Linked DNA regions of Cricetulus griseus. The protein of the gene in region 1 interacts with the protein of each later gene in a biochemical or structural test. Links are inferred from orthologs where the notes say so. Each region holds a gene or a part of one and is shown on either strand. Other genes may lie near its edges.

Region 1 (4,073 bases):
ACTCACTTGTAGGTCCAGCAATCGCTCATAAGTGAATACATTTCGGTCGGACACTCTGGGGGGCATTCCATCCTCTTGCCCTGCTTGATGAAGTCCAGGACCTCAGGGCCCTTCATTTTCTGCTCAGGCCAGGGACAAAAAGGCAAGTGTGAGGATCCCGGCTCCCTCACGTTGGTCCCCTCCCCAGCCCACCACTGCTGAGCTCTGCCCAGCCTGCCTTGTAGGGCTTCTGGCCATAGGAGAAAGCCTCCCACATGGTGACCCCATAGCTCCAGACGTCACTGCGGCTGGAGAATTTTCGGAAGTTGATGCATTCTGGAGCATACCACTTCAGGGGCCACTTCCCAGCGGAACGGGCCTGAAAAAGGGAGGTGCTGCTAGGACAGGAGCCCGGGACCTCTGGCCCACCAACCACCTCCACCTAGACACTACTGAGGTGGCACTCACCGTGTAATAGCTGTCATCAGCACCTAGTGCCTTGGACAGGCCAAAGTCACTGATCTTGGCATAGTGCCGATTGACCAGTAGGACATTCCGGGCTGCCAAGTCACGGTGCACAAAGTTCTTCTCCTCCAGATACTTCATGCCCATGGCTACCTGGTGCAGCAGTTCAGCCACGTTGCTGACGGGGATCTCCTCCCTGGGGCAGAGGGGAAGGTGGAGTCAGCCTCATTTCCCATGGGGCATGGGTGCAGCACAGAAAATCAGGGCAGCAGTGAGAGGGCTGGCATCTAGAAAGTTCTTGTCAGTAGTGCCAGATGCCGAGTGCTCCGTAAGCATCAGTTTGTTCAGTGTTCACAGGAGCCCTGGGCTCAGATCCTGCTATCACCTCCATGGTGCACATGGAGAAACAGTCAGGAGTCCTACTTTGGAGTATGAGTGTGGGCATCAGAGTACACATTGGGCAGGCATATGTCTATGAAGGAGTAAAGGCAAGTGGTGTGTGTGTGTGTGTGTGTGTGTGTGTGTGTGTGTGTGTGCGCGCATGTGTGTGTGCATGCGTGTGTGTGTGTGTGTGTGCATGTGTGTGCGCGCGCATGTGTGTGTGCATGTGTGTGTGTGTGTGCGCGTGCGTGTGCATGTGTGCGTGTGTGTGTGTGTGTGTGTGTGTGTGGTGTGTGTGCGCGCGCGCGCGCGCGCATGTGTGTGTGTGTGTGTGTGTGTGTGTGCATGCATGGTGTGTGTGCGTGCGTGCGTGCTTGTGTGTGTGTGCGTGCGTGCGTGTGTGTGCCCTCCCAGCTCCATCCCCCACCCTGTGAGCAGCCAACCACCCAGGCTCACTTCTTTCCAAGCAGGAACTTGTGCAGGGGCCCGCCGCCTGCCATCTCCATGACCAGCATGAGTGCCTCGGCCTGGCACACGCCGATGAGCCGCACGATGTAGGGGTTGTCCAGTTGGTGCATGATCTGGGCTTCCCTCATCATCTCATCCTTGTCAGCCTTCTCTGTACTGTGCTTCAGCACCTTGATGGCCACGTCGATCTGCTTCCTGCCCAGGGGCACAGCCACACACACACACACACACACACACACACACACACACACACACACACGCAGTGCCGGTGTGAACCGGGCAAGCACGCACCCAACCTGCCTCTCCTGTCCCCTGAGTTCTACAGTACATCCCCTGGCTTGCTGCCGGGACATCCACTCCCCAAGATGCCTGGGACTCCCCCAGCCTGAGACACCTCCCCAGGGAGAACCTCCATGTATGCCATAGCCTGTCAACACAGGGGCCAGGACTACCCTCTCTGCCATAACTTCAACTTAGCCAAGCCCTCCCTAGCAAAGGGCAGTGTCTCCCTCTCAGGTGTCCCCAGGCTTTCCACATAAGGGTCCAGCATGTCACATCCCACCCTTGAGTCTGCTTCTCAGGCAAGCTACCACGAGACAGATGCCCCAGCTCCTATTGCTCCTGACTCAGATGGCCCCGCCCTGGCAGAAGTGGTGGGTCATACTTGCGCATCCGGTAGACCCCCTGGCGCACTGAGCCAAAGTTGCCACAGCCAAGTTCAATATCAGCCACGATGAGGTTCTCACGCTTCAGGAAGAGCTTCTTGTCTTTAAGCTCCTCAGGGTCACTGTAGGGACTCTCATATACGCTCGTGTCCATGGGCATCGGCCGTGGCTTGCCTGAGGATGCTGGGCGCGCTGGGCACACACACAGTCATGCACTCCCACATCAGAAAAAGGAGGGCGGCAGAGGATGTAGAGGGCAAGGGAAGCTCAGCCACACCAGACCCATGGCCACAGACCATGATTTACCCATGCCCGTGTGTCAGCATGCACCAGATATACAGACATACAGACAGGCATGTTGGGTATAGGCATGACTGTGCATGGGACAGGCACCTGTCAATGGCTCTAGCCTTGTCATCTCTTGCTAAGTCCCACAGCCCAGCCAGGGACCCTGCTTTCAGTTGGGCATAAGCCAACCCATACCTCCACCTCCACCTCCACCAGCTCACCTGGTTCAGGGGTATATCCATCCGAGTTCAGGGTGTCAACTCGTCTCTGAGGGTAAAAGTCACAGGGTCAGCAGCAGTCTGCCAGGGAGGACCCATGCCTGCTGAGGACACCCCAGGAACCGTCCCCTCCATAGCAATCTTCCCTCCACCCCAAGCTCCCTGAAGTCATCCACCCAGTGCCCAAGTCTCAACTCTAAGGGACCCTGGCTCACCTGAGGAAGTGTGGATGGATGAGCTGGGAGAGTGGGGGCTGCAGCTGTTGGGGAACAGAAGGGACAGTGGGTACGGGAGATGGCCTCCTACATGCTTGTCCGTCTCCCGCCTCTGACCCCCCTCACCTTCGGTGCTGGCGCTGCTGTTGGGGCAGGCCTCTTTCAAGCGGTAAATAAGCCCGTCTGCCTTCAGCTTTAGGTACTCCACCAGCTGTGGAAACGGGTGTCAGGTGTGGCCCTCTCAGCCCCCCAGGAGCTGAGCACCCCACCACAGGGCTCTCCCTGGAACATGGCGGGCCTACCTGCCAGAGCGTGTCAAACTTGGTGCCTTCAGGAATGTAGAATTTGCCAGCCTTGTCCTGGCTGATGAGATAGTGGTACACAGTTTTCCCATAGATCAGGGACAGTGCGTATGTGCCCTGCTCCTTCCGGGGCCTCAGCCTGGAGGGGGAGGAAGGGCGTCATCCCTACAGCAATGGGGAGATTCCTGTTTCTCGGTTCCCTCTACTAACACAGGTGCCATGGTCTGCACACCCAGAACCTCACGAAGCAGGAGCAGAGAATGAGAAAGCCATGGGTGGGTGCCACCAAACCGCTGCACTTGTATGGTGACCATGGTGGAGAGAGGCCAATGCTGAGTGTACAGGAGATAATCCAGGGGCAGACTTGTATCCCTTCACAGGGGAACACTAATGGCCCATAGTGGACATGGAGCCATGGGGTGGGTCATCCATACACAGGGCCACCTGTTCTTCCACAGTAGTGACATGTTTGCTACCCCCTGGGAGACAGACGTCCTCAGGGGACCTAATCATCAGAGGTATATTCAGGGGTCATCAGGGGTATATTCAGGTGTCATCAGGGGTATATTCAGGGGTCATCAAGGGTATATTCAGCCATACACTTGGCTATCTGGTTGCCTGGGTGACTTTGGCTGATGTCCGGATGACATCTATACAACACACACACACACACACACACACACACACACACACACACACGCAAGAAAGCTGCACCTGGCAGGGTTTTCAAATGCTTCAGAGGGTCTCCAACCATAACAAACTCACGAACAGCCACATGACCCCAGCCACGGCTCAGATACACACAGTCACACAGTCACACAGGAACAAGAACTGACATTTAATGCCATCTTGCTCATGCTGTTGCTTTACATGTATCCAATCATGTGATCCTGTACACAGGTCCCAGGCAGGTACTGCTATAGGACAGGTTGAAGTGGCTAAGGTGGTTGCTTCAACATCTCCTACAGAGCCTCTACCTCTCTCAGTATAAAGGCCAAGGCCAGCCGGGAGGTAGTGGTGCACAACTTTAATCCTAGCACCAGGAGGCCAAGACAGGCAGATCTCTCTGAGTTTGAGGCCAGCCTGGTCTAC
Region 2 (5,775 bases), on another chromosome or scaffold:
ACCAGACCCCCCCCCCCCCACTATAGTCACTGTCTTCCTAAGGATAGAGGTTTGAGCCTTCAGAGCTCCTGAGTGCAGCAGAGGGTGGTCCTGAGAAAGGGGAGGCATTTTCTAGGGGAAGGCAGGAGGGACCAAGAGGAGTCAGGCTGAGGGAGGGGCTGTGCACCGCACCTGCAGGAAGGAAAGGTCAGCATTGTGTCCTGTGAGAACAATCTCCAGGTTGCCCATCACCACCTCACACCTCTCGTAGAGCTTGTACAGCGTCTGGTATTGATTCTCGGCATCGCCAGTCACACTCAGCCCATTCAGAGTCCCAGGACACACTGTAAAAATGGAGGTGGGGCAGTCAGGTAAGCTAGATGTCCCCTCTATATAAACCCCTCAGTTGCCCTCAGTTACATTCGGTTGCCTCTGACCCTGCCCACTAGAACTCCAAGGCTGGGGTCTCCTCACTTCCACGATCCCCTGGCCATTCCAAACAGAAAGGTGAAATGTGTGCTTTTCCTCACCAGGGTCCCCAATGGACCTCTTTCAGGGACTAATTTGGGCACTGAGGGGTTAATACAGAAGGAAGACATCAGGGGACTTTTCCTCTCCCTGGAAAGGACACATTAGGCAGGGATCAAACTTTGATTGCCCTCTCCTCTCCTCGTCAACTAAGGCACTTACTTCTCTGCCCCCATCCTGCCTCTCTCTAAGGCCCTGGAATAAACATCTCTTTGGGGCTAGCACACAGCCCCTATTGTGTCTACAGAGGGTGGGATGGGGGCAGTGCCTGGGGCCACACAGTTCAGCCCACAATGAGTCGATTCTATCCAGGAGGAGGGGGCTGCCCCACCCTATCCCAGACACCCCATCCTCAGCAGCACCCCCCTCTTACCCCGGAGCTTTGGGCTCAGACAAGTGACCTCACTTCAGGGACAAGCCCTGGTAGTAGGGTGGGGGTCAATGGGAGCTTTGTCTCCAAAGCTGGATAAGGAGCTGGCGACCTCCCCTTTCCTGAATTCTGGCTTCTCTTCTACTCCCTTCCCCTAAGCCAACATGCTCCAGCTCCCCCAGCACCTCTCCAGCCCCGGAGAGAAACAGAACAGACCCTTCACACCCTCTGAAGCCTTCTTCCCAATTTCACTGTCAGCAGGATTCATTAAAGACTTCTAACAGTGGCAATGCTCCTCAGCAGGAGAGATGGCTCCAGGGGAGAGCCAGAAGAGTGGCCAGTACACTCCAGTCTCAGGCTTTCACTTTCCTTTGTAAAAAGGGAAGTCTTGGTCCTTGGTGCTCTATGGATCTTTCCTCTGACACAGAGGAAGAGCATATGGGGAGGGTAGAGGTAGGGGTGCGAACCACCTGCTTTCACCACCCTTCCCTGAGGCAGGGCAAGAGCATAACAGTGGGAGAGAGAGCAGAGGCCCCAGCTCCTCCTGCTACATACACCTCTGGTCTGGCCCCTTCTTTAAGATCCTTATCCCTAGGCCAGCACTTGGGAGGAGGCAGGCTGATCTCTGTGAGTTCGTGGTCAGCCTGGTCTACAGAGCGAGTGCCAGGATAGACTCCAAAGCTAAACAAAGAAACCCTGTCTCGGAAAACCGATAAATAAATAAATAAATAAATAAATAAATAAAGCCCTCTTCCCTATCAGTCTCCATAACAGAAAGAGTGAGCTATTCCCAGCAAGGAGGCATGAACAGCCTGGAGGCTCCCAGAGGCACCTGGGAACCCCAGGGTCCTCGGGCTGAAGTGAAAGACTAGGAAGGTTAGTCATTTCTGAAACTGCCCCACCCCTGTCCCCTTCCTGGCAGGACACCCCTCTGCCAACCCTTCTCCCAGATAAGGGAGGAGCTAGGATCTCTGTATAGGGAAGTGGTGTGTACGTGTGTTGAGCACTGCCACACCGTGCACAACTGGTGCACCAACATGTACACAGTTCCCCGGCTCAGAAACATATATCGCTCTGGCCCTGCCTGGAGTCTGTATTGAGACGTATCACAAGTGGCCAGCGCATCCCATCTGCCCACAGTACCTTGTACACCTTGCGTCTTATGCTTTGCAAGGGCCTTACAGGTCTCGGTTACCTGCCACCCTGAGGGCAAAGTCCATATTTCACAAACAGGGGCAAAGGGCCTGGGCAGGACGGGAGTATAAACAACTACCCAGGAGGAGCCAGGCAACTTGGGGACCGGCGGCAAGGAAGCAGCAAGAACTGCCTGTTGGTGGGACCTAAGCTCAAAGAGGAGCGATGTCAGAGCCCTTCTTATATGTAGAGCACAGACTGGGGTTGGACAGAGCAAGAACATGCAGCCCCTCAGAAGTCTCCCCTCCACTGCCCCAGCCACACACACAAGGGGACAAAGGGGCTATACAAGGCTTGAGACAGGGCCGGATGCCCAGAGGCTGCAGGATAGAGATAAAGGGTAGAGAGAGACTCAACCATGCCTGCTCCCTGCTTCTCGGGGAGGGTGGTGGGAATCCCGGACTCCTGGGTTCCTGGTTGGGGGGGACAGAGGGGGAGAGAGCACACAATCAGATGGAAGAGTGATCCGGTCACTCCCCTGGCACCTCCCCCTCCAGTCTCCAGACCACCCCCTCCACCAGCTGGGAGTGTTCACGCCTCAAGATCCCAGGGGCTAAATTTAGGCCCAGCAACTGTGGGGGAAGCACAGGTGGTTTCTCCCACTCCCACTCTGGGGAAGGGGCCCTGGCTGTACCCCAAGATGAGATGGGGTGGGCGTGAAGCGAGATCAACGGGACTCGAAGTACACCAGCCCCAGAACTCTCCAGGTGCCCCTAGTCCCAGAGACAGCCAGAGGAATGGGCTCAGACGGCGTGGAATGGGGGTATAGAGAAGTAAAATCTAGCCTCTGTCTGAAGTTAGACAACTGAATGGGGGAAGGGAAGAAGTTGGGTCTAGGAGCGAGTTCACGGAATAGGATGTTCAGAAGGTAGGAGAGAGAGAACTAGGGCTAACTGTCCTTTCCCCCACACCTGCAGCTCAGGAAATAGTACAGTACATAGTAGATGCTCCACATGTTAATTGAATTGACCCGGCCTCGGTAAAGAGAAACTGGCTAAGTTGGGGACCAGCTTATCTTGTGGGAAGGCAGCCAGCCAGCCTCCGTGAGGCCTCTCACTCTGAAGTCACCTGGACTTGGCCCTCAGGTTAATCTCAGCCTTCTCAAGGCAGCCCCACTCACGGAAGAGGAGGTGCCATTCTTGTTTTTCCAACATCAGAAAACAACAACTTCAACCCTTGCATAGCTCCGCCCTGCCGGCAAAACAACGAAACTGGGGGTTGCTGAAACCTGGGGCGGGTGGGGTGGGGACCAGGGAGCCAGAGAGCAAACCGAGACCCTTCAAGTCAAGGCTCCTCGGGTTTGCAGAAGGGTCCCTGCCCGCCCTCTCTGCAAGGCCCTCAGATGCTGTCCACATCAACCTGATCAGAAAAACACCAATCAGAGGGTCAGCGACGCCCCGGGGGAGAAGGGGAGAAGGCATCCAGGAATGCAGTCCCTGCCCAGCCCACTCCGAGAATCAAGCCACACGCTCCCCTCCAAGGTGGTCCCGGTAGACTCGGGGTCGCACCCCGCAGTTGAGCGCGCCAGAACCCGAACCCCTTGCCCAGGGTCTGCGCGCGCTCAGGTCGCGCTCGCTCTCCGCTTCCAGCCGGCTGAGGCTCCCCGCGCCGCTTACCTGCCTGAGAGTTGCCCATCTCGGAACCCCGGGTCAGGCTGAGAAGGAAGCCCAGCACCTGCAGAGTCCCAATCGCCCTCATGATTGCAGCGGAGGGTGAAGGGAGCCCAGCCGAGTCTGGCCCGGGGGCCCCTGGGTTAGGACATCGAAGCGACAGCCACCTGAGCAGCCCGGCGCATAGGTGGTGGCGGCAATCGGAGATTGCAAACTGCAGCAGGAGCCGGAGTCGGAGTCCCGAGCGGGACGGCAGAGGAGGGTGTCTGTCTGGGAAGGAGGGACGGAGGGAGGGGAAGGGGGAAGGGGGTGTGAGTCACGGCCGCGCCCCCTCCTGTGCGAGGCTGGAGTCGCCGGTGGCTGCAGCCTGGGACACCCGCCCGGAGCGCGCCCCGCCAGCCCGCAGCTTGGCCAAGAGGGTCAAGGAGGGGTCTCACTCTAGCAATTTCCCCCGGAGATGGCTAAGAAGACATCAAGAACCCAAATGTCCCCGGGCCGGGGAAAGGTAGTGGATGCGGGTGGGGAGAGCGCCAAAGCCCAGCCCCCTGAAAGCTGGCCTCGCCCATTAACCAAATCACCCAACTCCCCTAGCCGGTTGGATCACTTGAGGGGTTTGTTTTTTTCTTTTCTTTTGGAGTGTGAATATTTCTACTTTTCTGAGTGGGAGGTTGTTTTTTAGCCTAGAGTCCATGCCACCTCCCTTTCCCCGGTACGCAAAGCCCCATAACTCAAGTATCCGGCCCGGGAACCCGAGCCCCGGAGGCCGCGTGAAATTGCACTGTCTCCGGCCGCTTCCTCCCGCAGACCCGGCGCCGGCCCGGCCTCTCGGGGGGATTTGTTTGGGGGGCGGGGGTGGTTTCCAGCCTGGGAACATACCCCGGAGCCCGCCTTCCCACTTCTGCCCTGGGAGGGGCTCCCGCACCTGTCGCGGTCCCCTCTGCTGCCCCCCACGGCCGCCGCAGAGAACAGCTGTCTCTGACCGAGTCCACGCCGGGACGACCGACCGACCGCGCCGTCCGTCCGTCCCGCCGTCCGTCTGTCCGTGGTTCCCGCCTCTCTTCCACCGTCGCCACCGCGGCGCTCACACCCGGAGGGGACAGTGAAGAGGAGCGCAGAGAGGTGGCTACAGAAGGCGCCTAGGAACCGCACAGCTCCCGGGACCTCCCGCCTCGCATACCCTGGGTTGCTAGGTCCCGGGCGGGTCCGACGGGCGCCTCCTGGTGCCCAGCCCGTTGCATTTCCCATCCCTTAGGTTGGCATTCCACATCTTGCCTGGAGAACTTACTGTCCCTTGCCCCTGGGCGAAAGCTACTAGCTAAAAACCTTTCTTTTGTTTTTTTCGTTTTGTTTTTTTGAGACAGGGTCTCATATAGCTCAGGCTGGCCTCGAAAAACCAAAAAAGAAAGAAAGAAATGCTGGGTCATACTTTGAGCCCCTCCCCTTCTGTCACCATGTACCACATAGATACGTAGATTTGGAGAAAATTTACAAAATTCACACAAACACGTGACCCAAACCCACAAAAAAAAAAAAAAAAAAAAAGAATACATGAGCTAGGGATGTCACCTCATCTTTTCAGAACTGGAAACTTGTGAATTTTCTCCAGATCTATCTATGTGATTCATTGTGACAGAAGAGGAGGAGCTCAAAGTTTGACCCAGGATTTCCCTCTTTCCTTTCTTTCTCTCTCCCCGTCTTTCTTTCTTTCTTCCTTTCTTTCTTTCCTTTTTTCTTTCTTTCTTTCTGTTTTCTTTCGGTTTTTCAAGACAGGGTTTCCCAGTGTAGCCTCGGTTGTCCTGGAACTCGCTCTGTAGAACACACTAGCCCCAAACTCGCAGAGATCCACCTGCCTCTGCCTCCTGAGTGCTAGAATCAAAGATGTGGGCTACAACCGTTCAGCGACCTAGGGTTTCTTATGATAGTATACCAAGTCTTCATCTGGTCATATTCAAACTCTTTCCAGGGCTGGGATGTAATTCAGTATTCAAATGTTGCTTAGCTGTAGGCATGGATTGAGATTCGATAGCCAGCACAACAGGGAGGAGTACCTCCCATCAGGTGACAAGGGCCTTAAGGGCCTCCTGTCCCACCTGC
Region 3 (5,839 bases), on another chromosome or scaffold:
ACTGACAGAAGAAACCAAACACCAGCCCCATCTTGTGTCCCCAAAGGTGATCTTAGTGACCACATCAGTCATTTATGCCTAGCCCATTTCTGAAAATGATGGAGGAATCAACTCACTTTCAGTCTTGTTAGAGCGGTGTTTTTCCTCTCTTAAATGACCTAAAAGACACCACAAACACTATCTGGTACTATGACAAACATGTTTTAAATGTTTTGTTGAGGAGCTCATTTACTAAATAATTCCCATAATTTTTAACCACTGAATGTTCAAGTCATCTCCCTGGCCACTATCTCAGCAATGAAATCAGCAGTTGCTAGTTGGCACCAGATGGGATGCTCTGCGTGTAGCAGGCCCTGCTCCCACCCCAAAGCGGCTGTAAGTCACTTAATCCTCCAGTTTCATGTGTAAAAGATGAAGAGACACAGAGAGCTCAGGAACTTGCATAGGTGGAAGGTGACACAGGTGACAACTGAGCTTTAGAACTTGCCTTTAAAGTTTCCATGAGGAATAGTTTTTAAGCAACATCACTAAAGTGAATAACCAGGGGTGTATCCAAATGCACTGTCTGGTAGCTTACACTGCACAGTGGACATTCTTTTGCCTAACTTTTTCTATGGAAAGTAACAGAGGTAAGCAAGCATTTGTAAGGCTTTGGTCAGCTATTTTTCAAAGTTAATCTATGACTGTGGTGCACCCACCTTGCCTTGTCCTTAATAGCACAAAACTTCACACCAGACATAGCTCCAAGACTGAGATCTAATGGATTTAAGGTGAAATATTTTTCTCTGAGGCCCTCACAAGCAGTTAGTTCAACCTTCTTTGGAGGAACTTTTAAAACTAATTTCTTATCTATGACCCCCACCCCGAAAATAATGTGCAAAGTAAACAAATATGGGTGTGGTGGCACACACCTCTAGTCTTAGCACCCAGGAGAATGAGACAGGAGGACAGGATTGCTGTCAGTCCAGGAGCAGCCTGGGCTGTACTCCAAGAACCTGTCTCAACAATAATAATAATTTTAAAATGTAATTGCTGTCACCTACCTATCTAGAAGGGCAGACTGAAGACCAACTTGGGAAGTTGATTTATAGGTCAATGTCGAGGGCAGGCAGCATCTGTAGCATGGTGCTGTCTCCTTGACCCACATGCACAGTGTGTAGTGGGCTTTTGGAATTGTCAGCTTCCTTTAATTCATTTCACTGCCATCACTATCAGATGGATTGCCATTTCTACAGAGTACCAGTTTTGACTCTAAACCAAAGCTAGAGCTCTAGCCTTGAACCTAGTCAGTTGATGCAATTCAGCAAGATCTGAGTCTTGGACCTAAAATCTGTATTTCAACAAGCACCCTAAGTAATTCTCACTAGCACCTAAGTTACCAATCTTAGCCCTAACCAAGTAGTTATTCAGCTTTGTAGGTGACAGGAACTGGGGCCCAGAGAGAGAAGGATCTGGCTTAAGGTCATACAGTGAGGCATAAACCCAACAGAGTTAGAACACATGCTTATGAGCCAGTGACTAGACTACATAGCCCAGGACTAGACTGCTCTCCTGCTAGGCCTAAGCCACTTGGAGGCATTAGGGACATGCAGACTGTGGCCTTAATCTTGATTTTCATCCCCAGTACAGGGCAAGACACACGTATCTGAGGCAAAAGGAACACAAAGCCTCACCAGCCTGTCTCAGCCTTCCCAGTCAGATTCTGATTAGAAGATCGGGATAAGGGGGTAGAACATGGAACTCAATGCCTCACACACATCTCCTTTCAACCTCACCTCCATCTCATCTGGTTAGTTACTGCTAATACCTCTATTTTATGTAAGTTGAGGTTAAGAGAAGCAAAGAAATTAAAGAAAAATAAATCCCCAAGCTAGATGGGAAGGGCACAATTCAAACTAAGGTGTATCTGACTCCAGAGCTGGGTAGAAGTCTCAGCGGCCCAACCCAACATGTTATGTAGACATTACACTTGCTGGTCAATTCTTTAAATGGCACACTGACATCCAAGAGCATCCTTAAGTGGCTCTGTGTTCATTTCACAGAGTATCTTCTTGGGGACCAATGAGCTCAGGGTCCGGAGTCTCATCTGTGTTTGTGGCAGGGGGCTGGTCCTTCTAGGATCATCAATCCCTCCCCCCACCCCCAGGTTCCTTGTTCCTACCCTTGAGTCTTTCCCTCCAGAAGGTGAGACCTGTCCCTGGAATATAGCTCTTACTAAGGTCCATGATCAACAAGAAGAAACCTCCTCATCTCTTAGCTCAAGCAGAGTGGTGTCTGCTTGGCCTGTGCTAAAGGGAACTTGACCCACACATTATCTGTAGCACCATGGGATTACATAATATCCTAGTTACACTTGAATGTGGGGCCTTTCTATGCCTCTTGGTCCCTCCCCAGACTTCCCTGCCTTAACTCTCAATTCCATTCTCACTGATCTATTGAAACAATTCACTGCTTCACTCCACCATGGCAAATTTACCTTTCTGCCCTAACTTACTTCATTTTTAGTTAAGAAAAGTAACTTTAAAACATACTTAAAAAGTCAATTGTCTCATCATATTTCCACCCACTGTGTTGAAAGAGAAGTTTATAATGACCCTATGGGGAGAAAGTAACAAAAATAAGATTTACAAAAAAGTGGCAAATACCAGGATCTGTGGGGCAGTCTCCTACCATGTCTCGTCCAGTACAGACTTCTGTAGGTTGGGAAGGCACCAATGTGTATATTACAGGTTTGATTATACAACCCAAAGAGACTTTTCTACCCCTTGGATCTCCATTTCTTCAGAAAAAAATAGAAGGCAAAGTAGACGACTTGTATGGTTTTAGCTTTAGGACCTCATCTTCATTACTGCCTGGAATATCAGTGGAATGTGAGACCAGCCTGCAGAAATGGGGACAATAGAAGCTCCTGTTTTCATAAGACCCCTTATCTTTTCTGCATGGGTGCCTTAGAGGAGTCGGGTGTCTTAGGATATGCCTAAGCAGATATGTGGTCCTCATTAGCAGATAACTGAACAAGGACCCTCGACTATCTCCTCCTAGCCTAGAAGCAGGACACTGTGGTCCAGCTTGACTTGTAAGTCTGCTGAGCTTGTCTGTTGTGTCCCTAACTATCCTGGGGCTCATGTCTGCTTTTCTGGCCTGCTTTCAAGGATTCTCGTAAAGCTCTGGTGAGACTCCAGCAAATAAAGAGACTCTTGCCCTCTTACAAGATCATGGACAATGGATGCCCAAATACCATTGTTCATCTAGCCATCTGTCCACCCCTCTTGCCCTGCTTGTCCATCCCTCCTACCCCAGAAGTACATATCTCCTTTTCTAGTAAGTAGACTTCACCATAACCATTCCCTGCATTTCAGAGCATGTGCTATAAAGCTAAATAGGCACGATTTCAATCCAACCTGATCCAGTAATACTCAAGAGCTTTGGACCACTTAAACTCAAAAGCTGACTTCAGTTGAATGAAATAGTGATCTTGAGATGCAACACTGTCAGTGCATAACATTAATATGTTAACACTGAACTCACATTATATTGGACTGTGTCTTAAAGGACAGTCTGTGGAGCACTGGATGCACACCTGTGTGTAGTAGGGGCTTATGCACTGGAGGGCCCTCTCCCTATCTTTCTCTACAGGACACACTGCCCATAAACTTAGTAATCTGCCTCCCAGGAAGGTAGCAATTGCAGGTGGTAACTCTGCAGCTATCTTGTACACCTTCCATATTCCATCCAGATTCTGCTTCCACTCTGCCCACCCTGCTGAAGGCATATGAGCCCAACCAGAAGCACAAGAGTGAAGGACTCACCTTCCTGAAATAATCAGCGAGGCTGTCCGGGTTCCAGGCTAAGACCTCTGAGCGAAAGGGCACATTCTTCAAGGCCATGGCTGCTGTTCGGGGAGCTCACAGGCTGGGGAGAGCTGCTGCAGCCATGAACAGAGACCCAGAGCACTGAGGTGTCCTTAGCTCTTCCAAATCCCAACTTCACTCAGGAACACCCTTGTTGAACAGGCACCGTTTCTGCTGTAACCAGATCCCAAGAAGCAGCGGCTTCCCCTGTGAACAAATATGGTCTCTTCTCAGAAAACGGCTCAGCTAGTTTCCTTTACCACTTCCTCTGCTGACTTCTAAATAAGTAAACAAGGAAGGCCAGCTCTGGCCAGCTCTCTTAATGCAGAGAAAGAGAGAGAGAGAGAGAGAGAGAGAGAGAGAGAGAGAGAGAGAGAGAGATAATTCCCTAGTAGTCCAGACACTCTAACCAAGTGGGGACTTAAACCCAGTTCTAATAGTTTTTTTCCACTAGAATTCTAGACACCCAAAGCTTGACACCACACTCCCGCATGACTGGGTCTACACAGATAAGAGTCTCTTTTGAAAGTTCCCTAAAATTGTCTATAATATCATCCTCTAGTGAACTGTGGGGGAAGGAAGATGTTCTCTTCATGTTCTCCAGCTTCCTTCCCCACCAGTTTGTTTTTATTGAAAGCTGAGGTACCTTCAGCTGCTTCTCCATGTTAAGATGAGTGAGTGGGTTTTGGTGAGTGAGGCAGCCAGGTTCTGAGTGGTGAAGGGTGTGATGACGCAGAGGACTATCTACATTTCTGATATGAATGTGTCTGTACTGTAACCTTGGGGCATGGAGTGACTGAAGGGACCAGCTCAGGACACCCCAAGTCCAAGTTCTCAAGACAAAGGATATTTACTCACCCCAGAGGGACAAAGAGGAGGGAATAAGAGACAAAAATGAGAAATAGAGGATGAGGGAGAAGGGAGAGAGGGGAAGGATATTTGCCCTAGACTGGAGCAAATGACTGCCTCTGGATAGAGAGGAGATAGACCTGACCGATAGGAAAATGTGGCTTATGAAGGTAAAAGGGAAAACCCTGTGTTAGGATGAGGTGTTTAATTTTATTGGGAGTGTTAATGAGGTGAGCCAAAGGGGGCTTTTGATTTCAATACTTTGATAGCTGGACAATGGTAGTCAGCCTCAGGAGGAGGAAGTGAACCTAGCTTTAGGAATGTAATCTAACAGTTTCTGGCAAGGCAGAGGCAATGGGGGGAAAGGACAAGGCCTGCTAGAGCCATGTTTGTCATGTTCGGACTAACTAGAGTCCCTTCAGTGACAGTGTAGGTAACTAGTTTCCATATCTGCAAGGCAGGAAAACAAAGGGCTTATGCACATACATACACTTTGATGCCTTTGCTAGGCAAATGTAAAAATAAAAGGGTTAAAGCATTGTTGTTATTGGTGGCACAATGCCTTCCATACACTGTGCTTTTTCACTTTATATTCTGTCTACTATCGTTTCTTCCATTTGCTATTGAGTCTACCAAATATCTAGCCAAAGAGTGTGTTCTCTGAGGATAGGAGATGGGAATCTGTTGCATCCTCCTTCAGTTTTTGACTCTGAACAGATCTCATAGACTGAAACAGTCTTTAACAGTGAGTGAGACCTGAGGCTAAAAACAAATGTATTGGTACAATATGGCAACCTGTAAACACAGTATAGCCAGTGTTCCATATGTACATACACATACATGCCTATAATATGGGGATGCACAGACTCACACATGTGCATAGCTCTCTATTCCAATGTGAGAAGGTTTCTCAAGGGTAGCTTTAGTCATGTATGCTTTCCCTTTTATACACACTACAGGAGGCCTTGCTGCCTCTAGTAGCTGTCTCATTACCTGTTTATGAGTTTAAATGAAATACAGATGAAGTGCCAGACCCAGCCCTGGCAAGTGGTCCATGATGGTGATCTGCAGAAGGCATTAACCCTGGTAACTTACATTAAATGGTCAACAATTGATGATGCTCAATGGACCACTTCCCT
Region 4 (6,057 bases), on another chromosome or scaffold:
GCAATGATTCTTTTATCACTACGAATTTGCTGGACTGACTCACTAAATCCCTAACATAATCCAGCAGACATATCCAGGAAATGAGTGAGGGGATGGATGGATGGATGGATGGATGGATGGATGGATGGATGGAAAGAATCAGTCTCAGGATTCAGGAGAGAAATGACAAATTAGAAATATGGACTACAAATGGAACCAGAGGTCAGGTGTGGTGGAACATGCCTATAATCCCAGCACCCAGTAGGCAGAGGGAATTGAATCTCTGAGTTAAAGGCTGGACTAGTCTACAAAGTGAGCTCCAGGGCAGCCAGGGCTACACAGTGAGATTCTGCCTCAAACAAAACAAAACTCACAAAACAAACATAGGCAAGGTACAGACATAATATTCCAGGGTAAATACAGAAGGCTGGGTATTCCTGAATTAAAACTCTAAAATTGAGAATATTCCAAAATCCCAAACCTTCTAAGTACTGGTGAGAGGTAACAAGTGGAAAATTCCACATCATGAAATTTTGGTTTCATGCAAAACATTAATTAAATTTTGCATAAACTTCCTCCAGGGCTGAGCATGGTGGCCTTTAATCCCAGCACTCGGGAGGCAGAGGCAAGCAGAGCTCTGTGAGTTCAAGGTCAGCCTGGTCTCCAGAGCGAGTGCCAGGACAGCCAGGGTTATATAGTGAGACCTTGCCTCAAAAAAAACAAAACAGAACAAAATCCTACTTTCAGACTATATATACACACATAGAGTGTGTATATAAATATATATGGTATATATAAAAATAAATGAATTAATTCCATGTTTAACCTTGAGTTCTACCCACAACAGAATTCATTGTATGTCTATAAATATCCCCAAATCTGTGTGTATGTGTTTCAGGTAAGGGACAGCTGTGATATACAGAGAGAAGAGGTAGAAAACTGAAGATCACCAAACCCTAGGGAAAGTCCAGGAAAAAAAAAGCAAGAAGGAAAAGAGACCAAAGCAAAAAATGCAGCCCAAGAGAAACAAAGACCACATGGTAAAGCAGAAGGAGCTTCAGTGAGAGAGTGTGAGTGAGTGAGAGACAGGCCTACAGAGACAGAGAGAGAAACAACCTCCAACCAAAGACCTTACAGATACATTAGACGATATCACTTCCATGAAACAAGAACAGGGTACTTAATAAAAAGGACACCAAGCTGGGCAGTGGTGGCGCACGCCTTTAATCCCAGCACTCGGGAGGCAGAGGCAGGTGGATCACTGTGAGTTCGCGACCAGCCTGGTCTACAAGAGCTAGTTCCAGGACAGCCTCCAAAGCCACAGGGAAACCCTGTCTCGAAAAACCAAAAATAAATAAATAAATAAATAAAAAAGAACACCAAGAATCGTCCCTCTCCCTCCCCAAAAAAGAGTTTTCCGACAAAAGAAAAGAATTTTTCTTTTCTTTTTGTTTGTGGTAGTGCTGTTTTGGTTTTTGAGACAGGGTCTCACTGTATTGTCCAGGCTAGCCTCAAAGCCAACCCTCCTACCTAGATCCCTCGTGCCAGGGTTAAAGGCGCATGCCTACACATCCAGCTGAGAAATACGATTTCAGTGGAAAGGTTAAAGAAGAGTCAGGGAATTTCTTAGACAACAGATAAAATGATAAGACAAAGAGGGAGGGAAGGCAAAAGGAAAAGCAAGGTGATCAGAAGTGAGGAGCAGGAAGTCCAAGATCTGAGGGAGGAAATGGAAGGGTGGCGATCGCAGAAATGAGAGGGAAGAGAGGCATAGCCGGCGGCACATGGCGGAAGGAGGTAGTCAGAGACCCTAACTCACTGGAGAAGGCGCTGTCTCGGAGACCAGGGTTGCTGGGCACGGGAGCAGAGGAGACGACAGGAATGGCGGCAGGGGTGCTGTCAGGAAGCACCTCTCTGGAAGGAAGGGATGAGGAGGTAAGAAAGGGCACCAACTTCCACTCCCACCTCCCACCCCCCACTCACAGGTAGCCCTCATTGGGGTAGTCATCCTCATCTTCATCTTCAGCCGCATTCTCACAGGCTGGCTCTATGAGGAATGAGAGAGAAGTCAACGTGACCTGGGATAGACCCAGCCTCCCCACCCCACCCAGTACCCCAGACCCTAGACCCACCCTGGTTCTCGTAGCTCGCCACACTGTTGGCTTCAAAGAGAGAGGGAGAGGAAGATGGAGTCAGCTGAGGCTGCACACCCTCTCCCCAGCCCTCCAGCCCTGTACGCCCTTACCATCATCCGAATCCTGCCGGGAAGACGGCATCTGATGGGAACCTCCAAGGGGCTGTGGGGATCTCCTGGAAGTCAAGGGTCAGGGACCAGGTCTAAGTAGGAATCTGGGGGCAAGAGGGGTTACAACAGGGAAAAAGCCACCCCCCCATCCTAAAAGGTAAGGAGGCACAATGGATCAGAGGGAGGGAGCTGAGGGGTACTCACGGAATGGGGAGCAGGTCTGGCTGCCTCAGGGGTGGGAAGGAAGTAACAAGAGGATAGGAAGTGGCAGTTGTTCGGGGGAAGCCTGTTTCTGAGGACATAGAACCAAGCTTGAGGGAATTACTCCAGACAACCCCCCTGCGGGTGACAAGGCCTCTAAGGACAGATGTACCCCTAAAAAACATGTGCTAAACAGGCATGGGGGCTCCAACTTTCCCCCAACCCAGGCAATAGTCCTGCAGGCATCTTAGCGGGACAAAGGCACACTCCCAAGAACCCTCAAAGAAGGCCAAGGACACTGAACTCACGAGATGGTTTGATGAGGATGCTCCGTGGATAAAAACTGGCAGGAAAGAGGCAGCTTAGGTACAGGGCCAAGAGGGCCCCAGCCCCAAGCCCTTCATCAGAACAAAGGGAAGACACACAGGGAAATGGGACTGCACACTCACCTCTCTGTGGAAGCACTGTCATAGGAGACTGGAAGAGAGAGAGCCAATGAGGCAGGATCAGAATGCACTGGGAGCAAAGACAGTCCCATCCCGTCCCGTCCCGTCCCGTCCCGTCCCGTCCCCCCCAGGCAGGACTGAAGTATGGACAATTAGAGGAAGCCGGGGGCTGGGGAAGGCATGGGGATCCAATGGTGTGCCTAGCATCTAGTACTCCACAGCTCCCCACTTACCTGGCAGCTCACGGCAGCGCACACACAGGGCAGCCAGGAGCGTGACCAGGACAGGCAGCAGCAGGAGGCCCAGCCCCATGGGGCTCAGAGTGTCTGCTTCCATCTGCAGAGCACCTGGCCCAGGCCCTGCTGCACTGCAGCCCCTCTAGGCAGAGTGGCAGCAGGGGTGTGGGACTGAGTGGGCCCCAGCCTGGGATCCAGTGGCAAGCAGCTGTGTCCTCCTTTGGGGTTCAATGACCCCCACTTCCTTGCTAGACTGAGTTGAGCTCAGTGCTGGAAGAGGCTAGTCCTAAAGCCTGAGCTGGGGCCTGTGCCCCAGCTACCAGCAGCACGATCCCTGTGCCCAGCTGTACCTGCCCCTTTCTTGCTCCCCGCTTGCCTGCCTCTCCTCCTCACCACCCGCGTGCGACAGGAAGCTGTGGTGAGGGCAGGAAATCATCAGGCTCCTCAGCCGGCTGCGCCTGCCCCCTGCCCACTCACCCCCACCCAGCTGTGGGAAGGGGGAGGAGGCAGAGGGACCTTGTGAAGGAAAGGTCTGAGGCTGCAGGATGAGGCAACTGCTCCACTAGGAAGGCAGACACATGCCAACCAGGCCAGCTGTGGCCTCCCCATCTCTGAGCACAAGAACTCTAATGAGGTTCTGCCAGGGACTGTGTGGAACAAGGGCAGCACTGCCTCCACCTCCCAGGCTTGCTTCTGGGAGAACAACTTCCAGGGGACCACAGTGACTCACGGTCACACCGAACCAACTCACTCAGAAAAGAGCAGTCCTCCTTCTAGATGGCCCAAGCGCAGAAGACAGGGACTTACCCACAGGGTGACCCGACTGCCCCTGGTAAGTAAGTCCTGAGACCACAGACATTCCCTGAAGCCAATGGCACCCGCAGAGAGACAAGCAGCCAGTCATAGTCTGCTTACAAATTTTATTCCATTACAAATAGCACCAAACCCCTTGGGCTGCCCTAATAGACAGGACAACCCCCACTTCTGGAACCCCATCTCTTCCCTGGGCTGCCCATGTAGTGTTTGGGAGCTGGGACATATCCCAGGGCTTCTTCCTTGGACCTGGACCTGGTGATGGCTTCTGCCTGGGCACCTCCCAGGGTGGGCCCAGGGCCAGCTGTGGTGAACCTGTGGCTGGGTGAGCAACAGCTCCTCAGATGAGCACGCTGGACACAGGGACCCGGGTAGAACGGCCTCGCTGAGGCACCACAATCCGGTCATCTGAGGGTCCTGTCTCATGCAACAGACCTGTGGGGAAGGGGTCGGAGCCAAGGCCAGTCACATAAAAGCCATCAAGGGGACAGGAGACAAACAGGCAGAGGGGCATAGACGAGACAGCAGCAAGAGTCCTCAGAACTGTGTATAGACAGAAAGCCTGATGATACACTTTAAGACAGACTGAAAGCTGAGTGGGATGGTACTGGGAAGCTGGTACTATCAACCCTGGCAGGTGGCTGGCAGCATGGGCCTGGGTGGATGGGACAGCTGTGGACTAAGAGATGTGGGGCGCATACCTGTGAGCCAACAGATGGACAGACTGACAGGTGATACTGTGAATATGGGGTGACAGTGGCCCTCACTGACCCTGCATGTGGAGTTGAGCCCGTCGGCGGTCATCCTCAATGAACATGGCAGTGCCCAGGAAGGCCGCACCACCCAGTGCACCAACAAAAGCGCAGAGCATGAGCGAGAACTGCAGGGCCCGGAACTCAGACAAGAAGGAAGCAGGCCAGCTCCGTCGGAGGCGGTCAGAAATCTGCTAGGACAAAAAGAGTCAGAGACCCAGGGACGGAGAGGCCTGAACACCAAGAAAATGAAAAATGGAGCCTAGAAAGAGGAATGGTTTGAATCACAGGGTGAGACCCACAGCCCCACAGGTAAAACCTTTACCCAGCTTCCTTCCCAACCACCAGAGGCGCTAAGGGTGAAAGAGCCACAGGTGGCTATTGCCTCAGTAGGTCAGACTATCCCATCCACCAGCCATCTGCCAGAGTAGGGAGTACCAGGTCCCGATACCATCCCAGCCCAATCACGGGACAGTACTCACTAGACCAATGAGGTAAGGGCTCCCAGCATCACCTAGCAAATGGGACAGCACGATCTGGAAGGCCTCAGCAGTGGAGCGTCGAGTTGGGATCACCACATACTGGGGGGAAGGGGAGATTCAGTAGGGGTCCCAGAGAAAACAAGGCCAAAGCCCAATGTGGGCCCAAGGCAGGCCCAGAGTCCCCTCCGTGGCTGGTCTCTGAAGTACACATGTGGCAGAAGTTTGAAGGGGAAAGGCCAGGATTCAGATCAAGTGTCATCTCCTGATCCTGATAGCCCTGCTCCCTTCAGCCTCTACCCAGCTACTCACCAGTAGGATGTCAGCCACGATGGCCCAGTTCATGGACAACAGGGTCTCCCCAATAAAGATAAAAATCTGGATGGCGGAAGAGGGAGGGAATCACATGACCAGGCTTATTAGCTCACTTAGTCCCCATCATATCCTGTAAGGCAGGCGCTAGCCTCAGTACCACTTTACACCAGAGGAAACAGAGGGGTCATGCTGCTTTGCCAGTGGCACCCAGCTGGGAAGGCCCAGGGCTGAGATTTGAAAGGAGGCATTCCACCTTCAGTCTGCCCTGAACTACTCTGCTGGCTGACCCTGCACATGGAGTTAGCTGCTGGCAGCCATCTTCAGTGGACATGGTGGTACCCAGGAAGGCCATACCACCCTCCTGTCCCCATGCAAAAATACCCACTAGACCCCTGGAATCTCACTCACGTAGGTGGCCACGATGCTACCTCGGGCACAGGCCAGGGACAGGAAGAGGAAAGGCGCGGAGCCCAGGAGGCCAGCAGCACAGACCAGTGGGTCAGCCCGAGGATTGAAGCGGCGAAGGCGGCGGCTGATCTCCACACCCAGTCCCACACCCAAGACTCCAGTCAGGCATGTGATGAGTCCAAA

What was found.
Region 2: the proteins of tyrosine-protein kinase ZAP-70 (region 1) and Erbb3 form a complex in vitro, tested with the Homo sapiens proteins (2 studies listed by BioGRID and IntAct, with this or other methods). The link is inferred for Cricetulus griseus from reciprocal best matches to the Homo sapiens genes ZAP70 and ERBB3.
Region 3: of the proteins of tyrosine-protein kinase ZAP-70 (region 1) and Lcp2, one has a biochemical effect on the other in vitro, tested with the Homo sapiens proteins (2 studies listed by BioGRID). The link is inferred for Cricetulus griseus from reciprocal best matches to the Homo sapiens genes ZAP70 and LCP2.
Region 4: of the proteins of tyrosine-protein kinase ZAP-70 (region 1) and Lat, one has a biochemical effect on the other in vitro, tested with the Homo sapiens proteins (2 studies listed by BioGRID). The link is inferred for Cricetulus griseus from reciprocal best matches to the Homo sapiens genes ZAP70 and LAT.

Annotation. Positions count from the first base shown.
Region 1 is NW_023276807.1:11,428,393-11,432,465, forward strand, and holds part of tyrosine-protein kinase ZAP-70, read right to left. Parts: intron 3,121-4,073; coding exon 2,982-3,120; intron 2,891-2,981; coding exon 2,797-2,890; intron 2,724-2,796; coding exon 2,682-2,723; coding exon of another isoform or gene 2,680-2,681; intron 2,522-2,679; coding exon 2,468-2,521; intron 2,151-2,467; coding exon 1,958-2,150; intron 1,489-1,957; coding exon 1,282-1,488; intron 641-1,281; coding exon 448-640; intron 359-447; coding exon 218-358; intron 120-217; coding exon 7-119; intron 1-6. UniProt on the Homo sapiens protein: Tyrosine kinase that plays an essential role in regulation of the adaptive immune response. Regulates motility, adhesion and cytokine expression of mature T-cells, as well as thymocyte development.
Region 2 is NW_023276806.1:129,315,285-129,321,059, reverse strand, and holds the start of Erbb3 (receptor tyrosine-protein kinase erbB-3), read right to left. Parts: upstream 3,888-5,775; 5' UTR 3,770-3,887; coding exon 3,580-3,769; intron 2,081-3,579; coding exon 2,021-2,080; intron 369-2,020; coding exon 172-368; intron 1-171. UniProt on the Homo sapiens protein: Tyrosine-protein kinase that plays an essential role as cell surface receptor for neuregulins.
Region 3 is NC_048600.1:49,225,546-49,231,384, reverse strand, and holds the start of Lcp2 (lymphocyte cytosolic protein 2), read right to left. Parts: upstream 3,888-5,839; coding exon 3,810-3,887; intron 1-3,809. UniProt on the Homo sapiens protein: Adapter protein primarily involved in signaling pathways within T-cells, as well as other immune cells such as platelets, mast cells, and natural killer (NK) cells.
Region 4 is NC_048596.1:74,437,127-74,443,183, reverse strand, and holds the start of Lat (linker for activation of T-cells family member 1), read right to left. Parts: upstream 3,888-6,057; 5' UTR 3,208-3,887; coding exon 3,105-3,207; intron 2,903-3,104; coding exon 2,875-2,902; coding exon of another isoform or gene 2,769-2,874; coding exon 2,734-2,768; intron 2,517-2,733; coding exon 2,429-2,516; intron 2,290-2,428; coding exon 2,225-2,289; intron 2,142-2,224; coding exon 2,112-2,141; intron 2,027-2,111; coding exon 1,963-2,026; intron 1,894-1,962; coding exon 1,799-1,893; intron 1-1,798. Other genes in the region: Spns1 (protein spinster homolog 1), read right to left, coding at 4,261-4,355, 4,692-4,863, 5,155-5,253, 5,464-5,529, 5,875-6,057. UniProt on the Homo sapiens protein: Required for TCR (T-cell antigen receptor)- and pre-TCR-mediated signaling, both in mature T-cells and during their development.